4 linked regions of the Macaca mulatta genome follow. The protein of the gene in region 3 binds, or shares a complex with, the protein of the main gene of each other region. Links are inferred from orthologs where the notes say so. Each region holds a gene or a part of one and is shown on either strand. Other genes may lie near its edges. The genes, in order: MLPH, RAB11A, MYO5A and SPIRE2.

Region 1 (7,615 bases), on a different chromosome or scaffold from region 3:
GGGAAGGATAATTTTTTTTTTTTTTTACACCCACACCTCAACATTTCCATTCTCAAATGTAAAGAGGAGTGTTTGCAATATAGGAAGAGATTGCCCCAATGTCCTGGGAACATTCAAACTCTGTTCCTTTACAGTCAGATTTAGATTCTGGTCAAGAAATCCTTACCACGGAACTCATTTTTGATGCTTCCGCAGAGCACACACTTTCTGGTTTCTAAAGAATTGGAACAAAAAGTTATTATTTGATGCATGACTGGAGTTCATTCACTTTTATTTTTCATGAGTTCTGAAAAAAAGGGATCATAAGAAGAGCATTCACCGACGTTCTATTTTCAGAATGGATGGACAGTGTGACCATCAGCTGAGGCATTAGCATTCCCTCTCTTCTCCTAACGCAGAAGCCAAAATTCCAGGCCTCAGTTTGAGAAACTTAAATCGTGATATGTGAGGAAGAAAAGCAAAACAAAAGGAAAAACCTGCTTTTCTTATCTTGCAACCTTCTTAGAGCAGTCAGTGACCAGTAAGTGAATGGATAAAAAGATCACAGTACATCACAACTAATGTCCTAGAGGCTGCCTGGATACCTGTCCCTCCCTCTTTCTATCCCCTTTCAAATCTTGGTTTTGTTTCTTGTTTTTTGAGATGAGGTCCCAGTCTGTTGCCCAGGCTGGAGTGTGGTAGTGCAATCATGGCTCACTGTAGCCTCGACCTCCATGGGCTCAGGGAGGTGAGGGTAGAGAACATGCTAGACCCATGAGGAGTGCAGGGTTGCTCTGTGCCTGCCCTAGCTGGGTGAGGTGGGGGTGGGGGCTCCCAGAGTGCGTGTGTTGGGCAAGGGCAGATGCCACCCTGCTCTATCTGTTCCTTGTTCCATTTCTGTGTAGATAACGCCTGCTCACGAGGTTCCTGAACAAAACACTTCCCTTTAGTGCCTGTTCCACTGCTCAGATTCAATCATATTTTAACCACTGGAGACAGCCAGCCTTCCCCAGTGGTTTAATAGCCATAGTGGGGCAGAGGGAGGGGACACAGGGATTAACAGGCAGGGAGGAGAGAGTGGAGCTGGTTTTATAAGATGGATATCCCAGGCCCAGACCGCTGAATTCCAGTGGTGTGTCACCTTTATCCATTAAAGAGTTGAATTCATTTTTTGGCCAAATTGAAGGGAAATCAGGGTGGGGGCTCCTCCTGGATGAAGAATTGGCTTAAGTAGCTCTTCAGCTGGCTGCTCAGAGAGCCTTGGAACAATGGTGATTGTGGGTGATCACTTGCCTGAGCAAACAAACTGGCAAGCTAACGACAGCAGGAATGCCCTCTCTGACTCAGCCAAGGCGTGTCGTGGGTGTTATTCTTGCTGATAAAGGGGAGGTAGCAGAGATGACAACTGTGGTGCCTTCTGCCTTAATCCTTTGTGGCCATTTCCCGAATGCTGCTGTCCAGGTTGGCCTGTGTGGTTATTTCTGTAGGCGGGGCCCATCAGTAGGCACTGACCCCCAGCTCTCATCAGTGGCTAAATGAGCACATTTCCACCCAGAAGGGCCACTCCCTTCCCTACAGGTGAACCAGGCACATCTGTGCTGTAGCCACAAGGGTCTGGAATGGCTCCAGCAGCAACAGCACTGGGAGGCTGTTCTGCCCCTCAGCCACCTGCCTACCAAGCTGCCATCTCCTCTGCTCTCCCGGTTCTCTGGGGAGTTGGTGGTAAACCCCACTGATAAATGGACATGAGTTCTGCATTTGCTCCTAAAGCCTCAGTGCTAGTCTCTACAGCAAGGATGGGTCCCAGGTGAGGCTGCAGAAGGAGGATGGGTCCCAGGTGAGGCTGCAGAGGGAGGATGGGTCCCAGGTGAGGCTGCAGAGGGAGGATGGGTCCCAGGTGAGGCTGCAGAGGGAGGATGGGGCTGAGAGGTGGGAGCTGGGTTCCCATCCCAGTTCAGGCACAGCCAGCCCGGCCGCCTGGGACAGATGCCACTTCTCTCAGGGTCTTAGTTTCTCCATCTGTACCATGGACAATGGCTGAGCTCCAGGACCTCTCTGGCCCTCTCCAGCCCTGGATGATGCCAGGATGTTGAAATTGGGAGGGGGAGTGATGGCGTCAGGATAGTGGGGAGGAGTAGGGGCAAGGGCTGTTCCTCCAGAGGTTGCTTTGGAAAAGAACAAGATGGTTGGCCCTAGAAGGCTGCCCCAACCGCTGAGACTGGGGCTCACTTGAGCCGTTGTTACACTGCGGTTGAAAGGCACCAAATTCACTTTTCCCATTAGCCCACAGGGCTCTGGGACACTTCCGCCACCTCCAGCCCCTCACTGGGTACACATTCAGCTGGTTTTAATTTTCTCCAAGTCACTCATGCCATATTCAGCAAGACCCACTGACTCCCCATGTGTGTGCCTGGCACCGCCCCATGTTCTCTAAATGTGTCCTCAGTCAATCCTCTGAGGCACCTGCTGCTGTTCTCTGAGCCTGAGTGAGGGCCAGGAGCACAGTGACCCATGCCTGGTACTTAGATACTGAGGAGCACGGCCCTGGGCGGGGAGGGGGCTTGGCCCAGGAAGGCTGAGACCTTGCTGACCTCAGCTGAGTCCCAACAGTGAGCAGGTGGAGGGATGGGTTTCTAAGGACAGATGCAGGCCAGCTGAACCCGAGGCATCAATGTCAGCAGCGTGGTCGGCTAGTCCAGGAGCCTTTTCCTGAGACTTCACAGCCCCCAGCAATGCTGGCCTTTGCACCTGTGGGGAGCCTTGCTCTCCCCCGACTGTCATTTCACTCCCTCAGAAAGAAATATGTGAACAAGATACCAGTCACACCACCTAAAAACAGGGCCTGTAAAGGCCCCAACCCAAGCTCTGCGTGGAAGTGAGGTGGAGTTTTCAGTGCCAGTTAATGTCAGTGGGACGCGGTGTTAAAGCCTGTGGAATCTTCGGGGATTTACAAGTGAGATTCAGTTCCTGTAGGGACCTGGGGCCAGGGCCGGGACGAAGCCCACAGGTGCTCAGAGCTCACAGACCCTTCCCATATCTCTACTTCCCACAACTCCCTGGCGGGCCCAGGGAGTCTGTCTGCAAACAAAAGGTGATTCCAATAAAACAGCCTTTTAGATACCCAAAGGAAGCCGGGTGCCTCCTCCCATGCCAAGATCATCCGGCTTCTTCCTCACCGCAAGACCAGCTCCCGGGCAGGGAGGAAGCCTTTCCCCTGGGGCCAGCCTGCGTGGCATCAGCAGCCTTGGCCCAGTCTGCATGGCAGACTCGCAATGGAGGCAATGGAGCTTCCGATTAAAACCAACCGTTTTGCCCAAAATGGGGATACCCCACCACCCCACTCCCACCCGTGCCCGCACCCAGACCAGTCTGCTCAAAGAATCCAGGTGAAGCCTGGGGACTAAGGCTGGGTGGCTGGGAACACGCTGTCCTCACCAGCCTGGACCAAGGCAGGGAGGCTGGCGGCTGGGGGCGGTTTCATACCAGTGGGTCTGCACGCGACACCGCGCACTCCCCAAAGCCTAAGCCCTCAGTCCTGGGTGCCACCATAGCCCCGCTGTTCCCTCTTCTCGGGGCACTCACCGGACCCTCTCCGGGGGACGCTCAGTCCCTGGTCCAGCACCTGGGAGAGAAAGGAGGGTGACGAAGCAGGGCGTCAGGCCAGGGCGTCAGGTCAGGGCGCCGGGGCAAGGCTGGATAATGGGGGCAAGCAGGGCGCGGGGCGCAGAGCGGCTGGCTCGCGCCTGGATCTCGGGGCAGGCGGGCAGCTGGCCAGGTCCCGGCGCCTCCTGCCCGAACCACGTGGGCTGCGCCCCGCTCCGCCCAGCTCCGGGAGCGCGGACACTTCTGGATGCCCTGCCAGGCCGAGGGCGGGACGTTCACCTGGGACGCCCGCGCGGGAAGCGCCAGTGCGGGGGAGAGCCCCGGATACTCGCCCCCAGGTCAGTTTGGGGAGAAAGAGGGCGGCGGAGTGGGGAAGGTTCAGCACACAGCTGCGATTCCCGTGAGTTGCGGCGACTTTGCGTGGGTGACATTGTGCCGCGGTCCTGCCTTGGGCACGGTGGACCCGCTTGCTGAGCACGCTCTAGAACGCGCGGCACATCGTCGAAATTTCTAACTCTGCCAGGAGAGCGCTATTTACTTCGGCTTTACAGATGGGGAAACTGAGGCTCAGAAACGCGCCCTACCAAAGCCACCGACCAGTAAGTGGCAACGCCAAATAATAAGTGGGACTTTAAGCCCAGGGCTTTCTGCTGCAGAGCGCGTGCCCTTACCCCTTCGATTCTGCCAGGCATCAGGACCAGGAGGGTCCCGCAGCCTCAGGCAACCCCGCTGCGGGGTGGAGACCGAGGCCTTGCCCGCCAAGAAAAAGTCAAGATCCGTGGGCAAATGGGGCAGATGTGGAAGCCAGGACGCGCGGCACGGCGGTGCCAGGACCGAGGACGCGCTGCGGGGGATGCCTGGGAGCTCCGTGCGGCTGCGCTCTCCTCCTGGACTCTAGGGCCGGCCTTTGGGTGCTCAGTGGGGCCCGCGAACTCAGAGGGTCCCAAGGCGAGCCGCCATCTCCAGTCCGCCACGCCTGCCTGTCCTTCCGAGTTCCAGTGGACATTAGGGAATTGCCCTCCTCCCTCATCCTCCAGGACTGAGCGCTTCAGAACTTTCTCTCCCTCCTCCTCCCTCTCCCTTGTCATTAAAAACTTACATTCCCTTCTTCAGGAACTGCTTTTGCAATTCAGTTTCCGTATCTGCAAAATGATAGGAATAAAGCCATCAGGTGAACAGATACTACTATCTCCATTTAACAGAAGAGGAAACGAAACCTTACAGGATTGTTGTGATATCACATTAGATTATTTGTAAACAGCTTTCAAAAGGCTGCAAAAGAATAAAAAAGAATGTTGTTGCCTGCTGAGCCCTGGGGAACACTGTAGGTGAATCAGGGTATTTCAGGTCCCTGGGCTGCCTTGGGACAGGTGCTGTCACCAAACACCATCAATTGTTGAGTGTGAACCCTGGAATGGGGTGAAGCTTACACTGACGCCAGCGTTTCCACATCCCATATGATCTGGTGTTTGTGTTTTTCATTTCCTTACCTCCTTGCCATATGCCTTACTGTTGCCTGTAAGATTAATAAATCCCTTAAGAGTTGATGTGGGGACTTAAGTTCCTTAAGGGCAGAATTTTTTTTTTAAGTTTTTAATACTTTAGTGCTTATGTATTTGAACTAGTGGTTTTAAAAAATATACAACTGACACATGCTGATATATAAGGTATATAGTAAAGAATATAAGGAATATAAAATGAAAAGCCAATTTCTCTCTTATTCCACTACCAACCTCTACGACCTGAAAGCAATCATTATTAATGGTGTCTTGTGTATTCTTTCTGAATTGTGTGTGTGTGTGTGTGTCTGTGGTGAAGCATGTGGGCTCAAACCAACTGCAAGAGTCGGAATTCTAGCTAGGAGTGTGGCCCACAAGCTGTGTCATCTTGGACCTGTAACTGAATCTTTGGCCGACTTTTTTTCTCTCTTCTCCATGACGGGAATAGTAATGGGAGTTACACATAAGGGTGTTGTGGATCAATATCCCCGCAGCTTGGGTGAGACACCACGTGGTGAGTGCTTGGTAAATACTAATTACTATTTCTGTCGAGCCACTTCATCCTTTTTTGGTTGTAGAATATCCATTGTGTGAGTTACCATAATTACTTATCAGTCTTCTATTGATGGACAGTTAATTTTTGATTTTTTGCTATTTAAATGATTCTGCCATAAATATATCATTCTACATAATTCTTATTGACACCTATCATACATAGGATGACACATAAATATCATTGTACATACATACTGATATATCTGTAGACTAAAAGCCTACAGATTTGGATTTTCTGAGTCAAAGGATGTACACAATTTTAAGAGAAAATTCTAGAATTATAAGCTTTTTTTTTTTTTTTTTTTTTTTTTTTTTTTTTTTTGCTTGAGACAGAAGCTTGCTCTGTTGCCAGGCTGGAGTGTAGTGGCTTGATCTCGGCTCACTGCAACCTCCGCCTCCTGGGTTTGAGCAATTCTCCTGCCTCAGCCTCCCCAGTAGCTGGAAATACAGACGCATGCCACCACGCCCAGCTAATTTTTGTATTTTTAGTAGAGACAGGGTTTCACCACGTTGGCCGGGATGGTCTCGCTCTCTTGACCTCGTGATCCACCCTCCTCGGCCTCCCAAAGTGCTGGGATTACAGGCGTGAGCTACCGCACCTGGCCCTAGAATTATAAATATTTAAAATGGTTAAACAATCCTCAAATTACAGAAAGTTTCAATTATAACACGAAGAACCCTCCCTTCCCCTAGCCATTTGTGATGAATTTCTGACATGAAGGTTTAGTGTATTTTATACAAACAAGGACAACCTTCTATTAAACTGCAATCCAACCATCAACATCTGTAAATGATACGTTGCTATCATCTAATCATTGGAGTCCTTTCAAATGTTGCCAGTTGTCTCCGTAATTTTTTGTTGCAAAAGGATCCAGTTCAGAATCTCATGTTGTGTTTAGTTGTCATTTCTAAGTCTCCTTCAAATCGGATCAGTTCCTCTGTCTTTGACTCTCATGGCTTTGCTATCTAAATATTAAGCCACTTATTTTTTAGACTGTCTCTAAATTTGGGTTGGTCTGCTCTTTCCCATGATTATACGCAGGTTTTGCATGGTTGGGAGAATCTTGCAGAAGTGAGGCGGGGTCCTCTCCCTGTGTCCTGTCAGCTGGTGCATGGATACAGTATGTCTCCTTACTGCTGCTGTGATCTCCGGACTAAGGTGCTGTCTTCCAGCCTTCTCCACGGGCAGGTTACTCCCTTCCCCTCTGTAATTAATGTCTATTTTTGGAGGAGGGGTGTACACATTTAAAATTTCATAAGGCTGGGTGATGTGGCCATGCCTGTAATCCCGGCACTTTGGGCCAGAGGCGGGCAGATCACTTGAGGTCAGGAGTTCGAGACCAGCCTGGCCAACATGGTGAAACCATGTCTTTACTAAAATTACAAAAATTAGCCGGGTGTGGTGGTGCGTGCCTGTAGTCCCAGCTACTCCTGAGGCAGGAGAATTGCTTGAGCCCTGGAGCCAGAGGTTGCAGTGAACCGAGATGGTGCCACTGCACTCCAGGCTGGGTGACAGAGCGAGACTCTGTCTCAAAAAAAATTAAATAAATAAAGAACAAAATTTCATAAACAATGTCAAATGGTAGCAGAGAATAGATTTTATGTCTTTGTATTCCTGCCTCCCCAGCTTCTTCTCAGGGCTCCCCAGGGTGCCTGTTGTTGGTACTCTCTACCTCCGTGACGTTTTACCCTGCCCTGAGACCTACCCTTCCTTGTTTACCTTCTAAAGGAGGAAACTGATGCCCAGAGAGTCAGATGGTGTTTACCCAAGATCACACAATGAGTCAGGGGCAGCCGAACTCTTCAGCCCTGAGCCTCACAAGCCACGCTGCTAAAGTCTGGGTTGGTGGGTGGACACCAGAGGGCAGCAGAGAGCCCCCTTCCTACTTCCTTGTCTTAATAGTAGCCGTCTGGAGACTCAGCCTTTGCTGGGACTTAGTGGCTGGCATGAGAGAGAGGAAAGGGTGGTTCGCTTGGCC
Region 2 (7,329 bases), about 13 Mb from region 3:
GAGCTGAGATCCGGCCACTGCACCCCAGCCTGGGCGACAGAGCAAGACTCTGTCTCAAAAAAAAGTTATCAGCTAGACACCTACCGTATTTGAGTATCATCGCAAATACCTAATACTAAATATCAAGCTGCTAAATGCATAAAAGCAGAATATACATATTAATTATCCATTGTTTAATTAAAAATTTCTGCTTCTTCAACTACATTTAGTTTTATACTTTCTCTTGCAAACTAATTTACTGGACCAAAATATAATTCATCAAAGACAGTACCTCAACCCTAAAAGTTACCACCTGAAAGAATAACTGGTAATTTTCATTCTGGTTTTCATAAATTTCGAGACATTTCTATTCTTTCAACTATATTCATACAGTCCAACCTCCTCAAAAGTTTTTAATATACAATGCATTCAAGGTGGGACACAGTGGCTCATGCTTGTAATCTCAGCACTCTGGGAGGCCAAGGTGGGAGGATCCCTTGAGCCCAGGAGTTTGAGACCAGCCTGGGCAATGTAGGGAGACCCCATCTCCACAAAAAAGAAATTTTTATTTCTGTAAGTAGGATAGTCTTAAAAAAAAAAAAAAAGAAGCCAGGCATGGTGGAGTACATTTGTAGTTCCAGCTACTTGGGAGGCTGAGGCAGGAGGATTTCTTGAGCACAGGAATTTGAGGCTGCAGTGGGCTATGACTGTGCCATGGCACTCTAGCCTGGGCAACAGAGGGAGACCCTGCCTAAAAAAAAAAATATATATATATATATATATATATATAGAGAGAGAGAGAGAGAGAGAGAGAGAGAAAGAATTATATATATAATGCAAACAATAAGGCTCAAGTCTAGACAAGTTTTTCCAGATTCAGCAGAATCTGAGTTGCTCAACCAAAACTTGTGAAAGAAAAACTACTAACAAGATGCAAGACAGCAAAGTTTCCATGATAATTTATACTGACAATCAGCTGACGGTTAATTACTACTGACTTCCAATGTGATTGAAAAGAAAATGTCTTAAGCAATAGACTATGTATCCAGGTATTTTCAGAAAATGTAACTTTGGATTGGTGCCTACCACACAATATTTGTAAACAGAAATTATGACTGATGCTTACTTACGTCCCACAGGGCCTTAACCACATTGTTTGTAAATACAAAATTAAAGTTTTAAAAATAAAAAGTTTAAATAAAATAAAACTAATTCCCTCCCACCAAAAGTCTCACTATTGGGCTTAAATAAAGGTCATAATTTAGAATAATTGTACTGCTCGTCCCACATTACATTCCTATTTAGACCACTCCATCCCCTATTAATTAAAATATCCCTTTATTTTCAACTTGTTAGTTACAAACTAACTCCAATTTCCTCAACTATTGCATTTGCTAGGTTAAGTCTAAGTACAAACAGCTGCAGTCCATCTCAGTGAATAAATCTCTGTACAATAAAGTTATTTTAAAATAAAATCATTCTTCACTTTAAAGCAGGATACTTGTATAAATAAGAAATTGGCTAAATAATCAGTATTGAAGTTAAAAAAAAAAAAAAGAAAAAAGTGACTCATATCCTGTAAGAGCTTTAAAAAATTAGAAATCTGGCCAGGCACGGTGGCTCATGCCGGTAATCCCAGCACTTTGGGAGGCCCAGGCAGGTGGATTACCTGAGATCAGGAGTTTGAAACCAGCCTGACCAACATGGAGAAACCCCGTCTCTACTAAAAATACAAAATTAGCCGGGCGTGGTGGTGCATGCCTGTAATCCCAGCTACTCGGGAGACTGAGGCAGGAGAATCGCTTGAACCCAGGAGGCAGAGGTTACAGTGAGCCAAGATCGCATCATTGAGCTCCAGCCTGGGCAACAAAAGCGAAATTTCATCTCAAAAACAAAAAAGTAGAAATCCTCCTCAGCAGAAGTTTTAATACCCTATCTTAAACAGCAAAATGCACAACAAAATGAAACCATAACCCATGGAAAAATAAAATGCATTAGAAGTTTCCAGTTTTATGTTTTTTTAATAATATTTAAACGCTGTTGTAGTTGAACCTACATTTAAGGTTCAAAAAACCGACAAAGGCCAGGCACACTGGCTCACGCCTATAATCCCAGCACTTGGCGGGGGCTGAGGCAGGTGGATTGCTTAAGTCCAGGAGTGCGAGACCAGCCTGGGCAACATGGCAAAACCCTGTCTTTACAAAAAAAAAAAAAAAAATTAGCTGGACGTGGTGCTGCACTCTTGTAGTCTCAGCTACTCTTAGGAGCTAGAGAGTAGCTAGGGAGGCTGAGGTGGGAGGGTCACCTGAGCCTGAGGAGGCCGAGACTGCAGTGAGCCTTGATTGTGCCACTGCACTCCAGCCTGGGGGACAGAGCGAGACCCTGTCTCAAAAAAAAAAAAAAAAAAAAAAAACTGACAAAACCACAGTAACTTCTTTCACATTATTACCATTTATTGAGTCCTCATGGTTAAAATTTTACAAATAGTCTCATTTAACTCTCACAACAATCTTAAGAGACAGGTATTTTCCTTTACATAAATGAGAGAACTGAGACTCAGAAAAGTTAACTTTTCCAAGGTCATATAGTAAATATAAGACCTGAGTCAGGATCTAAACCGAAATCTACGTTAATTCCAAAGCTCGGTGCTCTCAATCGTTGCTAGAAGGATGGTCTAATCAAAAAGCTGAAATACTTTAGGCCAATTCAGAATATTTAATATTCTTTGTTAAAAAATAAAAGGACCTTGTATAACCAACATTCCAGTTCAAACCAAATAGGAGAAATACCCTGACGGTCTATCTTGTTCTGAATTAATTACTTCAAAGACAGCCTTTATAAAGGCACACTACCATTATACCATATTTTAAAACACAAACCTCCCTTTAACCCCAAAGTCTCAAGAGATTCAAATAATTTCACATCATCTCAGATACCTTCGGCAAAACGTATGCTATAGTATACTTTCTGTAATCCAGGTCTGAGTTTTGTATTTGTAAAATGAACTAAGTACCCTGAAAGTACTTTCCAGCATGGGGTGGAGGGGGGATACCAAAAGTATTCACCCTATACAATAGAATATTCTGGGTCAGAGGCGTAAGAGACGACAAGAGTACAACAGCAGGCTAGTATAACAAGATTTGCAAAGTATTGGGAAAGCAAACAAATCTTTCCTGCTTGGTTTAGTCAATCATTCTTAGCACCCAATGGCAAAGACAGAAACAGTCACCATGCTTAACACTCTTTAAACTCCACCCTCCACAGTAAAGCTTTAATAGCAATGGCTTCTTCCTCAGTGGTAATGATCTTTGTTCAGCACACTACTGATGGCTACCTTCCCAATTCAGGAGCAGAGAAAGAGCATCAGAGTGAGAGTACATTCACTGAACAATAAAAGCATCTACTGTACTTTCTTCTTATTGAAAAATGTACCCTTTATCTTCGTTGACTAAAAAAAAAAATTGGATTCCTTCCGGACTCAACCAATAAGCAATTCTTTCTAACCAACCCTGACCCTCCGATATGTTCTATCCAAGGGCACTACATGTTTCCGTACCTTATAATAAATATTTAATGTGACCAAAAGAGCACACAACTTCCTTCCTACCCCCAACCTTTTGGGAAAGGTATGTGGCCAACTAGGGCTCTTCCCTTCCTGTTGGATCCTCCCAGTGTTGCAGCAGGAAGCAACCAGTCCATAGAGATAAAGCAAGCTAGTATTTGTGCAGCGCACAACCTTTCCTGCTCAGGAACCGGGCCTTCAGGTCTGGCAAGGATAACAGCCACCACCCATCCGCAACCTCTTCTCGCGAACCGAGTAAAGAGTTATCCCGGGTTGTGTGCCACTGAGTAGGGAGAGCAAGATAATAAAAGGCTAGGTGGGAAGTAATGTCAGCCTGCCGGGTCACTGCGACAAGTGCGCGACTGGGTGATGGTCGATCCCTCTTACCCTCCCACCACCCGGGTCGCAACGGAGACCAGGGAGCTCTAAACACGATCTGGGGAGGGAAGGTAGAGAGAGTTGCCAAATGGGGAGTGGGGGAGGGAGCGGTCAGAGAAGGTTAAGGACCGCGAGAACCGCGGGGCGGAGGGTGGGGGTGGGGACCCCTGGCCCGCTCAGATTTTACCGGGTCCTGGACCCGGGATGCGAGAAGCTTAGAGGGGGGGCCGAACAAGGGGAGGAGATATGCAGAAAAGAGGCTCGCTCGAGGGGGAAAGGGGGCAGATAAGAAAAGACCTGTAGTGGGAGTCTGCACCGAAGGCAAGGCCAAGAGGGAAGCGAAGAACCCGTCACAGGGGCTTCGGGAGAGGACGCCAGCCGGGAAAGGTGTACGCTGAGGGGGAGGGGGCGCTACACCCGAAAAGAGAGATGGTGGGAGGGGCGGCGGGGCCGCAGAACCCAGGGAAAGGAATTCGACGATATGCGAGAAGGCAGTCCGCCAGGGGAAGGACACGCAGGGAGGGGCTGTGAGGCCAGCCAAGGCCCACGGAGAGGTCGCTCAGAGAGCGGCATGTGATGGGGACCCCTGTCTGAGGAGGAGAGAAGCTGAGCTGGGTAGGAGACGGAACCACACAAAAAGGAAGGGCTGAGGCAGGCCTCTATCAGTGCACGGGTGGCCGGCACGTCCGCCGAGTGTGTCCCGGGTCCCCGAACGGGGACTGTGTAGAGTGCGAGAGCCCATGGCCTCACCTTTAAAGAGGTAGTCGTACTCGTCGTCGCGGGTGCCCATTGCGCGGCCGAGGAGCGAAAGGGCGGGAGCAGCAGTGGTATCTGTGGGACCAGGGGGCGTCGCTGCAGGGGTAACCCGAACGCCGAGCTTCAACTGCCGGACTGGGTGAAGAGCCCCTCCTTGCCGCTGCGCCACTTCCGGCAGGCCCCAGCCTTTAAGGGGAAGTACTTCCGGGGGCGGCTCCCCGTCCCTGAACCCAAGAAGGGCGGTATGCACGAGAGTCGCGATGCGTGGGGCTTCAAACTTTCGTCGCTAAAGGAGGCTCAAAGGGGAAACTGAGTCCTGGAATTCCTAGCTACCGTGGTCTTAGTGGCCTCTTGCTTATTTCTCGAGCTACCGTGCCCGGAAGCGACTCGCTGGAACCGGGCGGGACCGCCTGTGAGTGGTGGGTTTGTGGATGGGGGCGGGGTTGTCTAAGGATCAGAGAGCCGAAGGCAACTACATATGCGTGGCGGTTCCATGGTGTAATGGTTAGCACTCTGGACTCTGAATCCAGCGATCCGAGTTCAAATCTCGGTGGAACCTGCATTGGTGCTTTTTTTTTTCCTTAACAACTTTTTTGTTCACTAAGTAATTGAACAACTATGACATATATTAACATGGAGATGTAAAATTTAATCCTTGCCTATGAAGAACTCACAAATTTCCCACTGCATTTGAGGTACTATCTGCTACCTGGCGGGGGTTGTCTTAATGAGCCTCTTCACTACCTTTTTTTTTTTAACCCTGGCCCCTCAAACTTTAATTCAGAAGCTTCAATGAAACTTGAAAATTCCTTTTGCTGGAATTTTCTACCTCCAGCTTCATGCACGGGTAGGCGCTTGTCACTCACTCCTCTCCGGAAATCTCTCAGTCTATCTCGTTTTCATTTAGAGTACTTCGCCCACCCTCCTCATCAAGATTCATCAAGAACTTGAGTCCTATTTGTAGGCCTCTAATCTAAGTCCGTTTACATAAGTATTTCATTTAATATGCCGAGCAAAGGATGGCAATTTCCATTTTAGCGGAAATTTGGATACTAAGACTCAAGTGATTTGCCAGATATCATGCCGCAGGGCCTCCCTGTATTTGAAGAGAATTTTGTAATTCCAGAAAAGCCTTTATCCAATTATTGTCACACCTCCTACCTCCTATATGCAAACTCTCGATTTAGACTTGTGGGCAAGTGTGCCTAGAACAAGCAGAAGAATACCACCTGCCAATGATGTCCACTTCCCAATTCCCAGAGACTGAATAGGTTAGGTTACATGGCAAAGGGGAATTGAGGTTACAGATGAAATTAAGGTTGCTAATCAGCTGACATTAAATTAGGGATATTATCCTGGATTATTTGGGTGACCCCAGTGTTGTCGTAAGAGTACTTAAAAGTGGAAAAAGGGCTGGGCACGGTGGCTCACGCCTTAATCCCAGCACTTTGGGAGGCCGAGGTGGGTGGATCACCTGAGGTCAACAGTTCAAGACCAGCCTGGCCAACAAGGTGAAACCCCGTCGCTACTAAAAATACAAAAAGTTAGCCGGGCGTGGTGGTGGGCGCCTGTAGTCCCAGCTACTCTGGAGGCTTAGGCACGAGAATCGTTTGAACCCGGGAAGCAGAGGTCGCAGTGAGCTGATTAACAGCTGAGTCAATGGGCTGGGAAAGGCAGGCCCACCCTTAACCTGGGTGGGCACCATCTAATCAGCTGCCAGCGAATATAAAGCAGACAGAAAAATATGAAAAGGCTAGACTGGCTTAGCTTCCCAGCCTACATCTTTCTCCCGTGCTGGATGTTTCCTGCCCTCGAATGTTGGACTATAAGTTCTTCATCTTTGAGACTCAAACTGGCTTCCTTGCCTCTCAGCTTGCAGAAGGCCTATTGTGGGACCTTGTGATTGTGCGAGTTAATACTACTTAATAAACTCCCATTTATATATATATATGTCTATCCTATTCATTCTGTTCCTCTAGAGAACCTGGACTAATACAGTTGGTAAGAAAATAAAAAGGAACTGTCTAGTAAAAAGCCTGGAATTATAAATTTAGAAATGCCTAGCCTTAGACTGTGGGAGAAGCAAGACCTGAAATATATCTCACCCTCCACATCTGGGGAGGTAACCTTACATGTTTGTTAAAAACAAAGTGAGGACTGATAAGGCTGTGTTTAAACTTCAGCTCAGTCATTCACTAAAGCTGTGTCAATTTCAATAATTTATCTAATCCTGCTGAATCCCAGTTTCTTATCTGCAAAATGGGGACAAACAGGAAGAAGGAATTAAGTAACATATGTATAGCTGTTAACAGTGTGCATGGAACATAATAAATATTTATGAATGCATTGACTTTTTTCTTTTTCCTTTTTTTTTTTTTTTTTTTGAGTCAGGGTCTTGCCGCGTCACCCAGGTTGGAGTGCAGTAGTGCGATGTCGGCTCACGGCAACCTCCGTATCCTGGGCTCAAGCAATTCTCCCACCTCCACCTCCCAAGCAGCTGGGACTACAGGTGTGCACCATCGCACCTGGCTAATTTTTGTATTATTTGTAGAGAGGGGGTTTCGCCATCTTTGCCCAGGCTGGTCTTGAACTCTTGAGCCCAAGCGATGCTCCCATCTCAGCCTCCAAAAGTGCTAAGATTACAGGAAAGAGCC
Region 3 (7,351 bases):
GTGAAGATGAGGGCAGAGATTAGGGGATGTCGCAGAAGCTAAAAATGTCAAATGCCAAAGATTGTCCACAAACTATCAGAAAGCAGGAGAGAGGCAAGGAACAGATTCTCCTTCACAGTCCTCAAAAGGAACCAACCCTCCCAACCCCTTGATCTCAGACTTCTAGCCTGCAGAACTGTGAGATAATACCTCTCTGTTGGTTACACACAGTTTGTATTACTTTGTCATAGCAGCCCTAGGAAACTAATACACCACTTACCACCTTTACCTTCTAACTCTATCATTGCCTTTCTCCCTAATTAAAATGGAATCTCCATGGGGTCAGGACTCTTCATCTGTTTTGCTCATGCATGAATTCTCAACATGTAGAACAATGTCAGGCATGTGATAGCTCTCAATATTTGTTGAAAATGAGGAATGGAATTTTTCATATAAACCTAGACCTTGTTTTCATTTGAAAACAATCTACATAAAAATGTTCCCAGTAATAAAGCAATAACGGAAAACTTTAACAACGTAAAATAAAATATACTACCCTCTAGCTACTCTTTGAGAGAGGGATTCCAGACCCTGGGAAGCTGTATCTATTGCTGATTTCTACACCTCACTAGTGACAGAGTGCTTGGAACTGTGAATGTATACGTGGAAGTTAGCAGAGGCCACCCCTCAGGGCTTCCCTTTGCTGCTTCTGACTTTTTACTCTGCTTTTTTTCTGAAGGAAGTAAGGTAAGGTCAAGAATACAAAACCTGGCCAGGCACAGTGGCTGATTCCTGTAATCGCAGAACTTTGGGAGGCCGAGGCGGGCGGATAGCTTGAGGTCAGGAGTTTGAGACCAAGCTGGACAACATGGTGAAACCCTGTCTCTACTAAAAACACAAAAATTTGTTGGGCGTGATGGTGGGCACCTGTAATCCCAGCTACTCAGGAGGCTGAGGCACGAGAATCGCTTGAACCTGGAAGGCAGAGGTTGCAATGAGCCGAGATTGTGCCACTGGACTCCAGCCTGGGTGAGAGAACAAGACTCAGTATAAATAAATAAATAAACAAAACTCTTCTCCTCCTCATCTCCATTACCTTTCTTTTAGCATGGCCCCAAATATTTGAGTGGTTGAATGCATGTGTTCTGGACTTAAAAGAGGATAATTCCCGTTTCTTTTTTCTCCTTGTCACTTGAAAAAAAGAAAAGAAAACGAAGAAAGCATTCACACCTACAAGAACTCTTCCAGTTTTTATTTATTTATTTTCTCAGTATACTCAGTATTTCTCAACAGTCCTGGGAGGTAGGTATTATCTGATGGTGAGAAAACAGGCAGAGTGGTTACCACCTTGCACATGGCATGAAGAAACTGCAAGGCGTAGGAGCCAGGCCTCGTAAATCTCAATCCAGTGCTCCTTCCGTTCCGCTGGTCGTCACTGCACACGTTTTCTCTTTTTACGTCTGGGTGAAGAAAGGGTGGGTCCCAGAAACACGAAAGCGATTTGGTTTTACAATGGAAAGGAACAGAGACAAATCTGCAGGGCTTTCGACTCTGTAACCATTCCCTCTAGCATTTCCGTGGGGATTGTGGGCGAAGAGGAGAGGTCTGAGTTCCAGGGAGTAAGGACTGGCCCCCTGTTCCTTTCAGCGAATGAATGGTCTTTCTCCAAATACACACACACATAACACACACAACCGGGGCCCCCAGCCATGAGAGTTGGTCTTGATAGAAATGGTCTACCAGATTACTATAACAGGCTACTGGGGACCAGTTGTAGTTCAAAGACACCAGAGATGAGGCAGGGATTAAACAAACAACAACAACAACAACAATGAAGATTATTCAACCAGGAACGAAAATGAGGGTGGGGAGAAGATAGAGGGTGAAGACAGCGCAGGGTTGGGAGTAGAAAGACCACATTTTTGTGCTGGATGTGCAAGGCTCACCCTGAGGAGAGTGAGGGCGGCTTTGATCTTTTGATGCTGAGTTAAACTGCAGATAGATTTTCCATGTAAGTACTCTGTCATTTTCAGGTGGCAACGGGATAAACTTCAGGTGCCACCATGGAGCCGACAATCACCAGGAGAGAACAGGACAGGAAAGAAGGCTGGGACAGAAGGGTAGCTGCATCTCTGCAAACGCACAGGTCTAGGAAAGAGGCACCTGGGCTGTCCCCTGAGGCTATCTCGTTTCAAAGTCACTTAAGTTTCTGTAGCTTATAAGCGGCTCCTGCCCTCCCGGCATGATGACACGGCTTTGCTGCAGACATCGAGGTGCTCGGAATGACCTTGGTGATCATCCTTAACCTCAAATTCCCGGTCCTGCATTGCCCATCTCCCGGGTCACTCCTGCTGACAAGGCTCTTCTGCAGTTCTGGGTTATTCTACAGTCTTTCAAGAGGGCTTCCCCTAAATCCTCTCCCTAGGAATGCTTGGAAGGACGGGAGGAGCAGCCTCGAGGTTCCCATCGTTTACTCGGACACAGTGACGGCCCCCGCCATGGCTGCCCTACCACGGGGGCTAGGCTCCGCAGCAGAGTCCCGGGCTCGCTTCGGGGCCTGCGCCCGGGGTGTGCCGCGCCCTCGGGGCCAGTGTCCCGGGCGGGTTTCCGGGCCTCGGTAGCGCGGGAGGCGGCGGCGCCGGCTGGCAGGCTGATGATGATGATGCTCTGTGCTCGCAGCCGTTGGGAGGCAGCGTGAGCCTGAGAGAGCCCAGAGCAGCCGCGGTGGCCCAGCTGGAGCGCAGCCTCCTCCCGCTCCCATAATGCACAGGGCGGCGGCGGCGGCGGCGGCGGCGGCGGCAGCATCGCAGGCCGCCGAGGTGGCTGCGGCGGCGGCGGCGGCGGCGACCCCCAGGACCCCGGGCAGGTGGAGCGCTCGCGGCTGCTCGCCGCGAGCCCGGGAGTGATGGCTAGGCCCCCGCGGGCCGCCAGCGCCTGAGGCGCCCCGCCCCGCCCCGCCCGGCCCCGCCCGGCCCTGCCCTGCTCCCCGCCGGCGGCTGCGGGCGCTTCCTAGTCCGAGCGGACGGCCGCCCAGGCGAGGTGCGGCCTCCGCACAGGCGGGGGGCGTAGGCGCGCGGAGCCCGCCATGGCTGCGTCGGAGCTCTACACAAAGGTAAGGCGCCCCGTGGCCGGCGTGGAGGACTGGGGCCGCGCGGCCCTTGCCGCCAGCTGTCAGGCTGGGGAGGGGGCGGGAGCGGCGGGGCCAGCGCCACCCTCTTCAGCGCTTCAGAACCCTCGGCCCTACCCGCCGGTCGCCCGCTGCAGCACTTTCCTCTTTCGGGCGAGATGGTTAAGGCGACGGAGGGAGGCCCGCCTCGGGGGTCTCCCCGGCTCCTGCTGCGCTGCTGGAGCTGGGGGCAGAGCGGGCTTCCGAGTGGAAAGGGGGCCCATGTGGATTTAGCAGGGCGGGCGTGCCTCACCTCCTGCTTGGCTTTGGAAAACTCCCGGCGGGTGGGAGATGCTTGCTCCGGTAGATCGGATGGTTTCTCTCATGGGGACACGCGCTTAAAATAACGTCCTGTGTTGGTATGCAGTGCTGCTTGTACCGCCAGCCAGCCTTTCTGTGAGGTTATTTTGAATCCTGCAAACGGTGGCCGTATCACCTTTAGCTCCCCGGTTTAGCTGCGCTGGGGGTGGCGAGCCCCGGGGAAAGATGTTGCCGGATGAACGCGAGCTGATTCACCGGCTGGGAGGGTCGGTACTCATTTGTCGCTGGGAGTTTGCAACCTGCGTGTAATCCCGCAGAGCCTTGTTAGGCTCCGTGTCTTCACATCCTCTGGGGCAAACCTTTCCTTCTGGGTTTGCTTTAAGGGAAGTGGCAGTCTTTTCTTAGAGTGACATCAATATTCTCAGGGTCTGGCAATCTCTGAATGGCCTATTATGGAGAACTGTCACTTGAGTGCTGTGCAGATTTGTGATGACCTTTGTGAATATATGTAATCATGGCATTTTATACTATACACCCATGTGTAGGTAGATATTTTGCCAACTATTGATTACTTCTACATGCAGTTAATAGAGTTGCCTTTTCACATTAGCATTTGCAATAGAACTTTCATTTAGGGTCCTGTAATCACTGGAATCATTGTTTCCAAATGTGACTCAAGTCCAGGGCCCAAGTTGCAGTGTGTTTTACAGAGGAAAGAATTCTGGACTGGGCATCGAGAGACCTGGATTCAAGCCGGGACCTTTTCACTTACTCACTGTGACCTTGGACAAGTCACTTAACATTTCTGGTTCGATTTCCTCATGAGTAAATAGAGTTAATTATACTTGCCTTTCATCCCTTACAAGCTGTTCTGATAATTAAACTTAATAATAGTTGTGAAAGCTTTTTGTAACCTATGAATTTCTCTGCAAATATGAGGTAATATGATTAATTTCTTCAACCATGAAATGAGGAACTTGCATGAAACATTCTCTGAGACCTCTTTCTTTCTAGTTTTAGGTTTAAGGACTGTCCAATTGGAACTTCTCTCTCAACCTGGTAATTTCTTTAGGCATTGCAGATCTCTGATGTGTGAACGAATGCAATTGGAAACTGATTAAAAGTAACTTAACAGACACTTAATATGGTGCTTACTATGTGCCAGGTACTGTTTTAAGCGTTTTAAAAATATGAACTCATAATCCTTATAAGGGACTTATGAGGTTGATATTAAGAAATATCAAAATCATTTTCACATGAAGAGATAATCGGTCTGTAAACATTCCTTGGTTACTTTGTGTAGCCCCTCCCCTACACTTCTACATCAAGTTCGTCCAACCCGCAGCCCGTGGGCTGCATCCGGGCCCAGGACCGCTTTGAATGTGCCCCAACACAAATTCGTAAACTTTCTTAAAACATGAGATTTTTTTTTTTTTTTGCAATTTTTTTTTTAAGCTCATCATTTATCATTAGTGTATTTTATGTGTGGCCAAACACAGTTCTTCCAACGTGGCCCAGGGAAGCCAAAAGATTGGACACCCCCCATTGTATATGGTGAGCAGTCATCTTTGAGCTACTTAATAGTAAGCTGCTTAACTAGAGACTGATTGGATAATTAATTGTTGTTGGATTTTGAACACTTTTTCCCCCCAAGATGATTTGAGAGAAAAAATGGGAAAGATATTATGATTTGCAAATGGTAACGTTTTGGGCTTCTGTCACAGCTTTATCACAATCTATTTTAAAATTTACCTTTTAACAGCCTGAGAAACATAGTGAGACCTGGTCTCTACAAAAAATTAAAAAATTAGGCTGGTCACGATGGCTCATGCCTGTAATCCCAACACGTTGCCGAGGTGGGTGGATCACCTGAGGTCAGGAGTTCGAGACCATCTTGACCAACTTGGCAAAACCCGTCTCTACTAAAAATAGAAAATTAGCTGGGCGTGGTGGCGCATGCCTGTAATCCCAGCTGCTCAGGAGGCTGAGGCAGGAGAATCGCTTGAACCTGGAAGGCGGAGGTTGCAGTGAACAGAGATTGCACATTGCACTCGAGCCTGGGCAACAAGAGGGAAACTTGGTCTCAAAAAAAAAAAAAAAAATTAAAAAATGAGCTGGGCGTTGTAGTCACGCCTGTGGTACCAGCTACTCGAGCTGAGGCAGGAGGATCAGCTGAGGCAGGAAGATTGCTTGAGCCTGGGAGGTTGAGGCTGCAGTGAGCCATGATTGTGCCACTGCACTCCATTCTGGGCAAAAGAGCAAGAACATGTCTCAAAAAAAATTTTTTTTCTTTTTAACCTCTTTCTCATTTTAAAACAGACTGGCTTAGAGAGCAAGACTGAAGTTGGGGCTTACACTGCCTTTTTCTAAATACACTTATGCCTAATTAATAATCTGGTTACTTGGTTGGTTGTTGGCTAATTCTTTTTGTAAATGGGCCTTAGCTTAATGGCAAGCGGAAATAGTTATCAGGCATCCTGGCATCCTGTGTGCCAGGTACTTTGCTTAATGTTTATAACAGTGAACAAGATACAGTCCTTTCCCTCAACGTGCTCACAGTCTGCTTCTTACATTCTTGACCCACTTTGAATCTATAGGGACATAAATAACCTTATTAGTAGAAGTTAGGGAATGGGTTGGGACATGGGGAAGATTGGGCTGATTCCAGAAATAAAAGCTACTATTGTAATTACTAGAGGAATAGGAAAATCATTAGAAGTATTATCAGTGGATAAGCACAAGGATCTTCCCCTTGCAGAGGATTATAGGAAGGAAGTTCTAGGATAGATTACAAGGAAAGATGTATTAGTGACATGCCATAATTATAGTATTTAATATAGTGGTTAAATATGAAAAGTACCCTTTAAAAAAATGTCATTCAGATCTTAAGGGCAGATTTTGATGTGTGATACAGATCAGTTCCTATTACAGTGAAGGACAAGAGACTGTTCAGTTTCTTCTTTTTAGCCAGAATGATAATGGTTTTGTCACAGCAATTTAACAAGGCTTCCATTTTGTCAAAATTTCCTGCAGTATAAACATTTTCAGGGCAGTAGCTAGGTTCTTGGGATACATTTCTGGAAACTAATATTTTGGTTGAAACATGTTTTGTTGATTTTTAAAAATAACAGCTTTATTGAGATATGAGTCTTATACCATATAATTCACCATTTAAAGTGTACTATTCAATGGTTTTTGGTTTATTCACACAGTAGTATGTTGATTTGTTTGTGGGTCAACCTGCCTTACTCCCTCAAAAATTGAAGGAAACTATGATATGTCATTGCTTCTGATTTTGAAAATATTTGCTAGTCTTGACTTGTCAGTGCATATTTATATCACCCATAGGTGCTTTTGGTAACTAGAAGCAATTCTACATTTGTGGAGTGGGGTTTATCAATTAGACCTAGAAGGATTACCGGCAGCATTATAATGAATGGCATGCTATTCCTCCTCTCATCATGTTCCCAGACACCATGGATAGCACCATAAATGCTGTAGAATGGTCAAGATTACCTGAAGCTGATTTTTTTTTTTTTAATTTTTTTTTTTTTTTGAGACAGGGTCTCACTATGTCACCCAGGCTGGAGTGCAGTGAAAGTGAACATGGCTCACTGTAGCCTTTAACTCCTGGGTTCAAGCTATCCTCCCACCTCAGCCTCATGAGTAGCTGGGACCACAGTTATGCACCCAGCTAATCTTTAAATTTCTTCTAGAGATGGTCTCAGTATGTTGCCCAGGCTGGTCTTAAACTCCTGGACTCAAGTGATGCTCCTGCTTCCACCTCCCATAGTGTGGGATTACAGGCATGAGCCCCCCACATCCAGCCTATTTATTTATTTATTTATTTATTTAGAGTCAGGGTCTTGCTCTGTTGTCCAGGCTGGAGTCCAGTAGTGTGAACATGGTTCACTGCAGTATCGACCTCCCAGGCGTAAGCCATCC
Region 4 (6,689 bases), on a different chromosome or scaffold from region 3:
TCAGCGCCTGTCTCAGAGGGCGTGGTCTCAGCGCCTGTCTGGGGAGCATGGTCTCAGCGCCTGTCTCAGAGGGCGTGGTCCGAGCGCCTGTCTGGGGGGCGTGGTCCGAGCGCCTGTCTGGGGAGCGTGGTCTCAGCGCCTGTCTCAGAGGGCGTGGTCCGAGCGCCTGTCTGGGGGGCGTGGTCTGAGCGCCTGTCTGGGAGGGCGGGTCCGAGCGCCTGTCTGGGGGGCGTGGTCCGAGCGCCTGTCTGGGGAGCGTGGTCTCAGCGCCTGTCTCAGAGGGCGTGGTCCGAGCGCCTGTCTGGGGGGCGTGGTCCGAGCGCCTGTCTGGGGAGCGTGGTCTCAGCGCCTGTCTCAGAGGGCGTGGTCCGAGCGCCTGTCTGGGGGGCGTGGTCTGAGCGCCTGTCTGGGAGGGCGGGTCTGAGCGCCTGTCTGGGGGGCGTGGTCCAAGCGCCTGTCTGGGGAGCGTGGTCTCAGCGCCTGTCTCAGAGGGCGTGGTCCGAGCGCCTGTCTCAGAGGGCGTGGTCTGAGCGCCTGCCTGGGGACTGTGGTCTGAGCGCCAGTCTGGGAGGCGTGGTCTGAGCGCCAGTCTGGGAGGGCGGGTCTGAGCGCCTGTCTGGGGGGCGTGGTCCGAGCGCCTGTCTCAGGGGGCGTGGTCCGAGCGCCTGTCTGGGGGGCGTGGTCCAAGCGCCTGTCTGGGGAGCGTGGTCTCAGCGCCTGTCTCAGAGGGCGTGGTCTGAGCGCCTGCCTGGGGACTGTGGTCTGAGCGCCAGTCTGTGAGGCGTGGTCTGAGCGCCTGTCTGGGAGGGCGGGTCTGAGCGCGTCTGGGGGGCGTGGTCCGAGCGCCAGTCTGGGGACTGTGGTCTGAGCGCCGGTCTGGGGGGCGTGGTCTGAACGTCTTCGGGGCGCCAGTGGTGGCGCTGCTGGCCTGCGGCAGTGGTCTCTGCTGCCGCCTGCTGGGGCCGAACCGCACTGCGACCCCGGATCCTGGAGCCACCTTGCAAGGGACGTCCCGAATTGAAGGGTTCAGTGTGGGGTTAGGGCAGGCGGCGAACTTGCGCGCCCTGTGTGCCTGGAGGTCAGTGTGACGGGGCTTCACTGGGTCGCGACCTTGACTCTGGCCGTGACGCCGCCAGGGTACTGCTCAGCCCCTCTCCCCTCGGTTTCATATCTGACCTGTAATTGTGAGGAGCTCACTTTTGCTGACATCTTGAGGCCACGTGGACGTGAGTTCTAGTGTATCATTTAATCAACTGAGGTAAGGCGAGTGTGCGGCCCGTGGGCCATGCTGGCAGCATGCAGGTGTTGGAGGGATGTGAACGGTGTGGTTGCTGCCGCTAGTTGAGGTTTTATCAAGAGGCTCAGATGAGAACAGATGTTAAAATGCTTTGAGAACTATGAGCCTTATATAAACGCAAGGCACTGTTCGTATCCCCCACCGAAACGCAGGGCTTGCCCCGTTAGTCTAGGTCGCAGGCCCCGCCGAAATGCAGGGCTTGCCTCATTAGTCTAAGATTAGCTATATATCACTGCATCAAAAGTTACCTCACAATGTAGCATCTTAAAATAACAAACATGTATTATCTCACACAGTTTCTGAGGGTTGGGACTCCGGAAGTGTCTTCGCCGTGTAGCTCCGGCCCAGGGTCTTTCGTGAGGCTGCAGTTAGGATGGCAGTGGGGCCTGCAGTCTCGACTGAAGGCTCAAATGGGAGCTGGAGGAACCACATGAAGTGGCGTCCTCAGCCAGCTGTGAGCAGGAGACGCGAGTGCCCTGCTGTGTATACAGGCCTCTCTCGGGGCTGCTTGGCGATCTCCACAGGGTGGCGGCTGGCATCCCCCAGAGCATGTGGCTCAAGAGTGACCGCCGTGAAAGCCACTGAGTATTTGTGGCCAAGTCCAGAAGTGCCACGTTGTCCCAACTCATTAGCAGCGAGTCAGGAAGTCCAGCCTATTCTCAATGGGAGGGAGGGAATTAAGGCCCACTTCTTTTTTTTTTTTTTTTTGAGACGGAGTCTCGCTCTGTCTCCCGGGCTGGAGTTGCAGTGGCCGGATCTCAGCTCACTGCAAGCTCCGCCTCCCGGGTTCACGCCATTCTCCTGCCTCAGCCTCCCGAGTAGCTGGGACTACAGGCGCTGCCACCTCGCCCGGCTAGTTTTTTGTATTTTTTAGTAGAGACGGGGTTTCATCATGTTCACCAGGATGGTCTCGATCTCCTGACCTCGTGATCCACCCGTCTCGGCCTCCCAAAGTGCTGGGATTACAGGCTTGAGCCACCGCGCCCGGCCAACACTTCTTAAGGAATTAGAGGACGCATTTAAGATGACCACAGGTCACATGAGTGGTTCTTTAGCTCTGAAGTCTCAGAAGTGCTTTCTGAAGGGGGGCTACTGAGCATCACCGAACCTGGCCTTCCATCTGCCCTGGGCTCACAGCCTCACCTGGGGGGCAGGCAGCTGTTCTCTGCACCCGACGTGAGGTCTCCTGGCCACGGACGTTGTTGGCGTAACATCTGTGACATCTCAGGTGACCTGTTCAGCTGGAAACAGCACCATCAGGCAATTGGCAACAGAAGCCCAAAGCTCTGGGTGCCTCAGGTCATAGTGAGGAACAAATGCAAGGGCCGCAGCTCCTCCCAGTGCCAGACAGGAGCATGTGTTCCCAGCTCTAGACAGGATAACCCACTGCAAATCCAAAGCAGAGCACATGGTCCAACTCCATCCGTGTGGCACCTTCATAGACGGTGCCCACCTGCCTCGGCAGAGTAATGACTGACACTGCAAACGCGATGCCGGCATGAGTCATCTCGATGGAGCTGAAATCCAGCCCCGTTTTACAGAAGAGAAAACTGAGGCTTAGAGAGATCAGGTGTCAAGTTCTATGCCAAGCACAGGGAGGCAAAAACAGGACACACTCATCATAATGTGGCCCCAGGAATTGGTGGTCAGGACACAGGAGGTGTGCTGAGTGCAGATGGGCAGATGCAAGCTGGGCCCCAGGAGTGAGGTGGTCTGTTGGAGGCTCCTGGACCTCCCGGATGAGAGGACATCAGCTGCTCAGGGAGGGAGGATTTGAGATGGACTCTGGCTGGTGTGGATCTGCCCATAGTGTGTTTGCAGGGAGGGACACCTTGAACAAACATGGGCTGAGGGGAGTGTGTGTGGAGCGTGGCCAGTGAAGGCTGGGTTGGCTGGCAGGGGCCGCTGGTCATGGGAGGCCTAGCCTGCAGCAGTAGCGCCTCATCAAAGACACGGGGATGGATGGCTGACGGACAAGTGTTTTAGAAGGTCGCGGGCTTGTTTAGGCTGAGGCCAGGAAGGCGTGAGGGTCCTCAGGGAAGGAGAGCAAGCTGGGGGAGACTCCTGCATGGAAGACTTTCTACCTGAGGCCGAGTGAGCACAGCCCCTTGCCCCGTCCCCCAGGAGTTCAGCCACCCCGTGGAGAGCCTTGCGCTGACCGTGGAAGAGGTGATGGACGTGCGCCGTGTGCTGGTGAAGGCCGAGATGGAGAAGTTTTTGCAGAACAAGGAGCTCTTCAGCAGTCTGAAGAAGGGGAAGGTGAGGCTGCCTAGACGTGGGGCTGCTCTCTTGCCCGCTGCGTCGGGGGCGGATCCCAGGACTGTTTGCTCATGATCTGGTTGGGAACCCTGAGGGGCAGCAAGGACAGGGCAGGACCCAGGGAGCTTTGGACAAAGCCGGGCTCTAATCAGGTCTTTCCTGACAGATTTGCTGCTGCTGCCGGGCCAAGTTCCCGCTGTTCTCGTGGCCGCCCACCTGTCTCTTCTGCAAGAGGTGAGCCTTCCCTTTAGCTGCCAGTTCACAAGGGGAGGAGGAGGTGAGAAGCCTCTGGGCAGTGCTGCCCACAGAACTTCCTGTGACTCCAGGAATGTTCTAGCATGTTCCATGGCTGATGAGTCCACAAATATCGTTAGTTGAATGAGGAGTTAAATTTTAAATTTTATTTAAATTAAATGAAACTTAAATAGCTAAGCAACTCCCAGTTTCAGCCAAGATGGGGTAATCGGCATCTTCTACAGCCCAGAACAAACAGGATATGAAACAATGTTTTTCAAGACTTTGGACAGCAGGCAACAAAAAGGAAACACAACAGGGCAGGCCTGCCATCACCGCAGTCATTGTCTGGAGAGTTTCTCGGCCATGAGCCACAGCCGCCAGACTCCCGGAAAGGAGGAAATCCAGGGAGACCACAGCAGCTTGAATCCCCCATGCAGAACTCCGGAGGAGAGGGCTGCGCCGAGAAAGCCTCAGAGAAGGGCCCCCTCTCTGAAGGAAATGACTGAAGGCTGCAAAACATTTCTCCTAAAGCAGAGATTGACAAACCATAGCCCAATCTGGTCCTCCGCCTGTTTGGCGAGTAAAGTCTCGTTGGAACACAGCCACACCCATTTGTTACTCGCTCAGCCACGCCTAAAAGGTTTATTCTCTGGCCCTTTACAGAAAAAATTTACCTTCCCTTGTTATAAAGATCTGAAGGAACAGTGCTCAGGGCCAGGAATGAATAACATCCGTTTCCATCAGCCACAGCCAGAAATGTCGTGATTCACAGGGCACTCACCAGAATGCACACGAAGGCCTGGCCTCACTAATGTGGAATAAGTAGCCCAAAGTGAGTGTTGCTCCAGGCCTGACTGATAAATCATAAAAGCAAGACCTGAAAGGATCAAACTGTTCACAGATATCTTAACTGATTCTGAGAACAAAGCTCAAGAACAAGACTTTTTTAAAAACAAACAAAAAAACAAAGCAGTACTCAGCAAGATAAAATGTCTGGCATCTAATCAAAGATTACCAGGCAGGCAAAAAAGACAAAATTAATTACAATGTATTGTGGGTTCTGTAACACACGTATAAGTAGTGTTGATAACAATAGTTAGCATTAAGGCCAGGGAGAGGAGAAAATTGGAAGTATACTTCTTTTTTTTTGTTTTTGAGATGGAGTCTTGCTCTGTTGCCCAGGCTGGAGTGCAGTGGTGCAATCTCGGCTCACTGCAAGCTCCGCCTCCCGGGTTCACGCCATTCTCCTGCCTCAGCCTCCCGAGTAGCTGGGACCACAGGCGCCGCCACCTCGCCCGGCTAGTTTTTTGTATTTTTAGTAGAGACGGGGTTTCACCGTGTTAGCCAGGATGGTCTCAATCTCCTGACCTCGTGATCCGCCCGCCTCAGCCTCCCAAAGTGCTGGGATTACAGGCGTGAGCCACCACGTCCGGCCAGAAGTACACTATGTTCACTATGATAAGGTGAATCACTATGATAAGGTATAGTAAGGTGTTATATATGCAATACAAATATTACTTAAAGGTAGACTGTGATAAGTTAAAGATGTATACTGTAAGTCCTAAAGCAACCACTAAAATAAAACGGTTACAGCTAATAAGCCAACAAAGGAGATAAGATGGAACCATAAATATTAATTAATCCAAAAAAAGGTAGGAAAAGAAGGGGAACAAATAAATGAGTCAAAAAGAAAACAAATAGCAAGATGTCAGACTTAAACACAACTTATCTAGCATCACATTAACTGTAAATGATCTGAACAACCCAAGTAAAAGCTAGAGTTTCCCAGACTGAATAAAAAAGTAAGGCTGGGGCGGGGCGTGGTGGCTCACACCTGTAATCCCAGCACTTTGGGAGGCTGAGGTGGGCGGATCACGAGGTCAGGTGGTTGAGACCAAACTGGCCAACATGGTGAAACCCCGTCTCTACTAAAAATAGAAAAAAATAGTCGGGCGTGGTGGTGGGCGCCTGTGGTCCCAGCTACTTGGGAGGCTGAGGCAGGAGAACTGCTTGAACCTGGGAGGTGGAGCTTGCAGTGAGCTGAGATAGTACCACTGTACTCCAACCTGGGTGACAGAGGGAGACTGTCGCAAATAAATAAATAAATAAATAAATAAAGTAAGTCTGGGTATGGTGGCTCACGCCTATAATCCCAGCACTTCGGGAGGCTGAGGTAGGAGGATCACTTGAGCCAAGGAGGTCAAGGCTGCAGTGAGCTATGATGGTGTCACTGTACTCCAGCCTGGGTGACAGAGCAAGACCCTGTCTGGGAAAAAAAAAAAATCACCTCATTTTATCTGTAAAATTATATATATTTCTGTTGATATATACTTGGAAAAGCCTGGAGGATGGAAACCATTACTAGCAGGGATCATTTCTGAGGATGTAGTGTCCAAATTTTAATTCTCTCATGTTTGAATTTTTTTTTTTTTTTTTTTTTTGAGACGGAGTTTCGCTATTGTTCCCCAGGCTGGAGAGCAATGCCGCAGTCTCGGCTCACTGCAACCTCCGCCTCCCAGGTTCAAGTGATTCTCCTGCCTCAGCCTCACGACTAGCTGGGATTACAGGCATGTGCCACCACACCTGGCTATTTGTGTATTTTTAGTAGAGATGGGGTTTCTCCATGTTGGTCAGGCTGGTCTCCAGCTCCCGACCTCAGGTGATCCACCCGCCTCAGCCTCCCGAGTAGCTGGGACTACAGGCGCCCGCCACCAGGCCCGGCTAATTTTTTTGTATTTTTAGTAGAGACGGGGTTTCACCATGTTAGCCAAGATGGTCTCGATCTCCTGACCTCGTGATCTGCCCGCCTCTGCTTCCCAAAGTGCTGGGATTACAAGTTTGAGCCACCGCGCCCGGCCTTGAATTTTTCATAAGAAGGTATTTATTTTTGAAGTCA

What was found.
Region 1: the proteins of MYO5A (region 3) and MLPH are in contact, whole or in part, in a crystal structure (PDB 4KP3), measured with the Mus musculus proteins. The link is inferred for Macaca mulatta from reciprocal best matches to the Homo sapiens genes MYO5A and MLPH. Residues at the interface, in NP_034994.2 of Mus musculus: Asp1524, Val1527, Arg1528, Leu1531, Thr1532, Ile1535, Asn1536, Lys1539, Ser1570, Gly1571, Leu1588, Thr1589, Asn1590, Phe1591, Asp1592, Leu1593, Ala1594, Glu1595, Tyr1596, Val1599; in NP_443748.2 of Mus musculus: Lys184, Lys186, Arg187, Leu188, Leu189, Ser190, Phe191, Arg192, Asp195, Phe196, Glu197.
Region 2: the proteins of MYO5A (region 3) and RAB11A are in contact, whole or in part, in a crystal structure (PDB 5JCZ), measured with the Homo sapiens proteins. The link is inferred for Macaca mulatta from reciprocal best matches to the Homo sapiens genes MYO5A and RAB11A. Residues at the interface, in NP_001369276.1 of Homo sapiens: Ile1660, Gln1661, Trp1738, Met1742, Arg1745, Tyr1746, Ser1749, Gln1750, Glu1753, Arg1756, Gln1777, Gln1780, Val1781, Lys1782, Lys1784, Met1795, Glu1818; in NP_004654.1 of Homo sapiens: Arg33, Glu35, Ile44, Gly45, Val46, Glu47, Phe48, Ala49, Thr50, Gln63, Trp65, Gln70, Tyr73, Ala75, Ile76, Ala79, Arg82.
Region 4: the proteins of MYO5A (region 3) and SPIRE2 are in contact, whole or in part, in a crystal structure (PDB 5JCY), measured with the Homo sapiens proteins. The link is inferred for Macaca mulatta from reciprocal best matches to the Homo sapiens genes MYO5A and SPIRE2. Residues at the interface, in NP_001369276.1 of Homo sapiens: Asp1551, Val1554, Arg1555, Thr1559, Ile1562, Asn1563, Lys1566, Ser1597, Gly1598, Leu1615, Thr1616, Asn1617, Phe1618, Asp1619, Leu1620, Ala1621, Glu1622, Tyr1623, Val1626, Asp1629, Leu1630, Gln1633; in NP_115827.1 of Homo sapiens: Arg404, Pro405, Arg406, Val407, Leu408, Leu409, Lys410, Ala411, Pro412, Thr413, Leu414, Met417, Glu418, Met420.

What each region holds. Positions count from the first base shown.
Region 1 is NC_133417.1:142,719,174-142,726,788, reverse strand, and holds the start of MLPH (melanophilin), read right to left. Parts: upstream 3,941-7,615; 5' UTR 3,562-3,940; intron 1-3,561. UniProt on the Homo sapiens protein: Rab effector protein involved in melanosome transport. Serves as link between melanosome-bound RAB27A and the motor protein MYO5A.
Region 2 is NC_133412.1:43,315,952-43,323,280, reverse strand, and holds the start of RAB11A (ras-related protein Rab-11A), read right to left. Parts: upstream 4,827-7,329; 5' UTR 4,710-4,826; coding exon 4,670-4,709; intron 1-4,669. UniProt on the Homo sapiens protein: The small GTPases Rab are key regulators of intracellular membrane trafficking, from the formation of transport vesicles to their fusion with membranes.
Region 3 is NC_133412.1:29,823,391-29,830,741, reverse strand, and holds the start of MYO5A (unconventional myosin-Va), read left to right. Parts: upstream 1-2,691; 5' UTR 2,692-3,064; coding exon 3,065-3,091; intron 3,092-7,351. UniProt on the Homo sapiens protein: Processive actin-based motor that can move in large steps approximating the 36-nm pseudo-repeat of the actin filament. Can hydrolyze ATP in the presence of actin, which is essential for its function as a motor protein. Involved in melanosome transport.
Region 4 is NC_133425.1:85,310,013-85,316,701, forward strand, and holds the end of SPIRE2 (protein spire homolog 2), read left to right. Parts: intron 1-3,421; coding exon 3,422-3,556; intron 3,557-3,722; coding exon 3,723-3,790; intron 3,791-4,035; coding exon 4,036-4,558; 3' UTR 4,559-4,830; downstream 4,831-6,689. UniProt on the Homo sapiens protein: Acts as an actin nucleation factor, remains associated with the slow-growing pointed end of the new filament.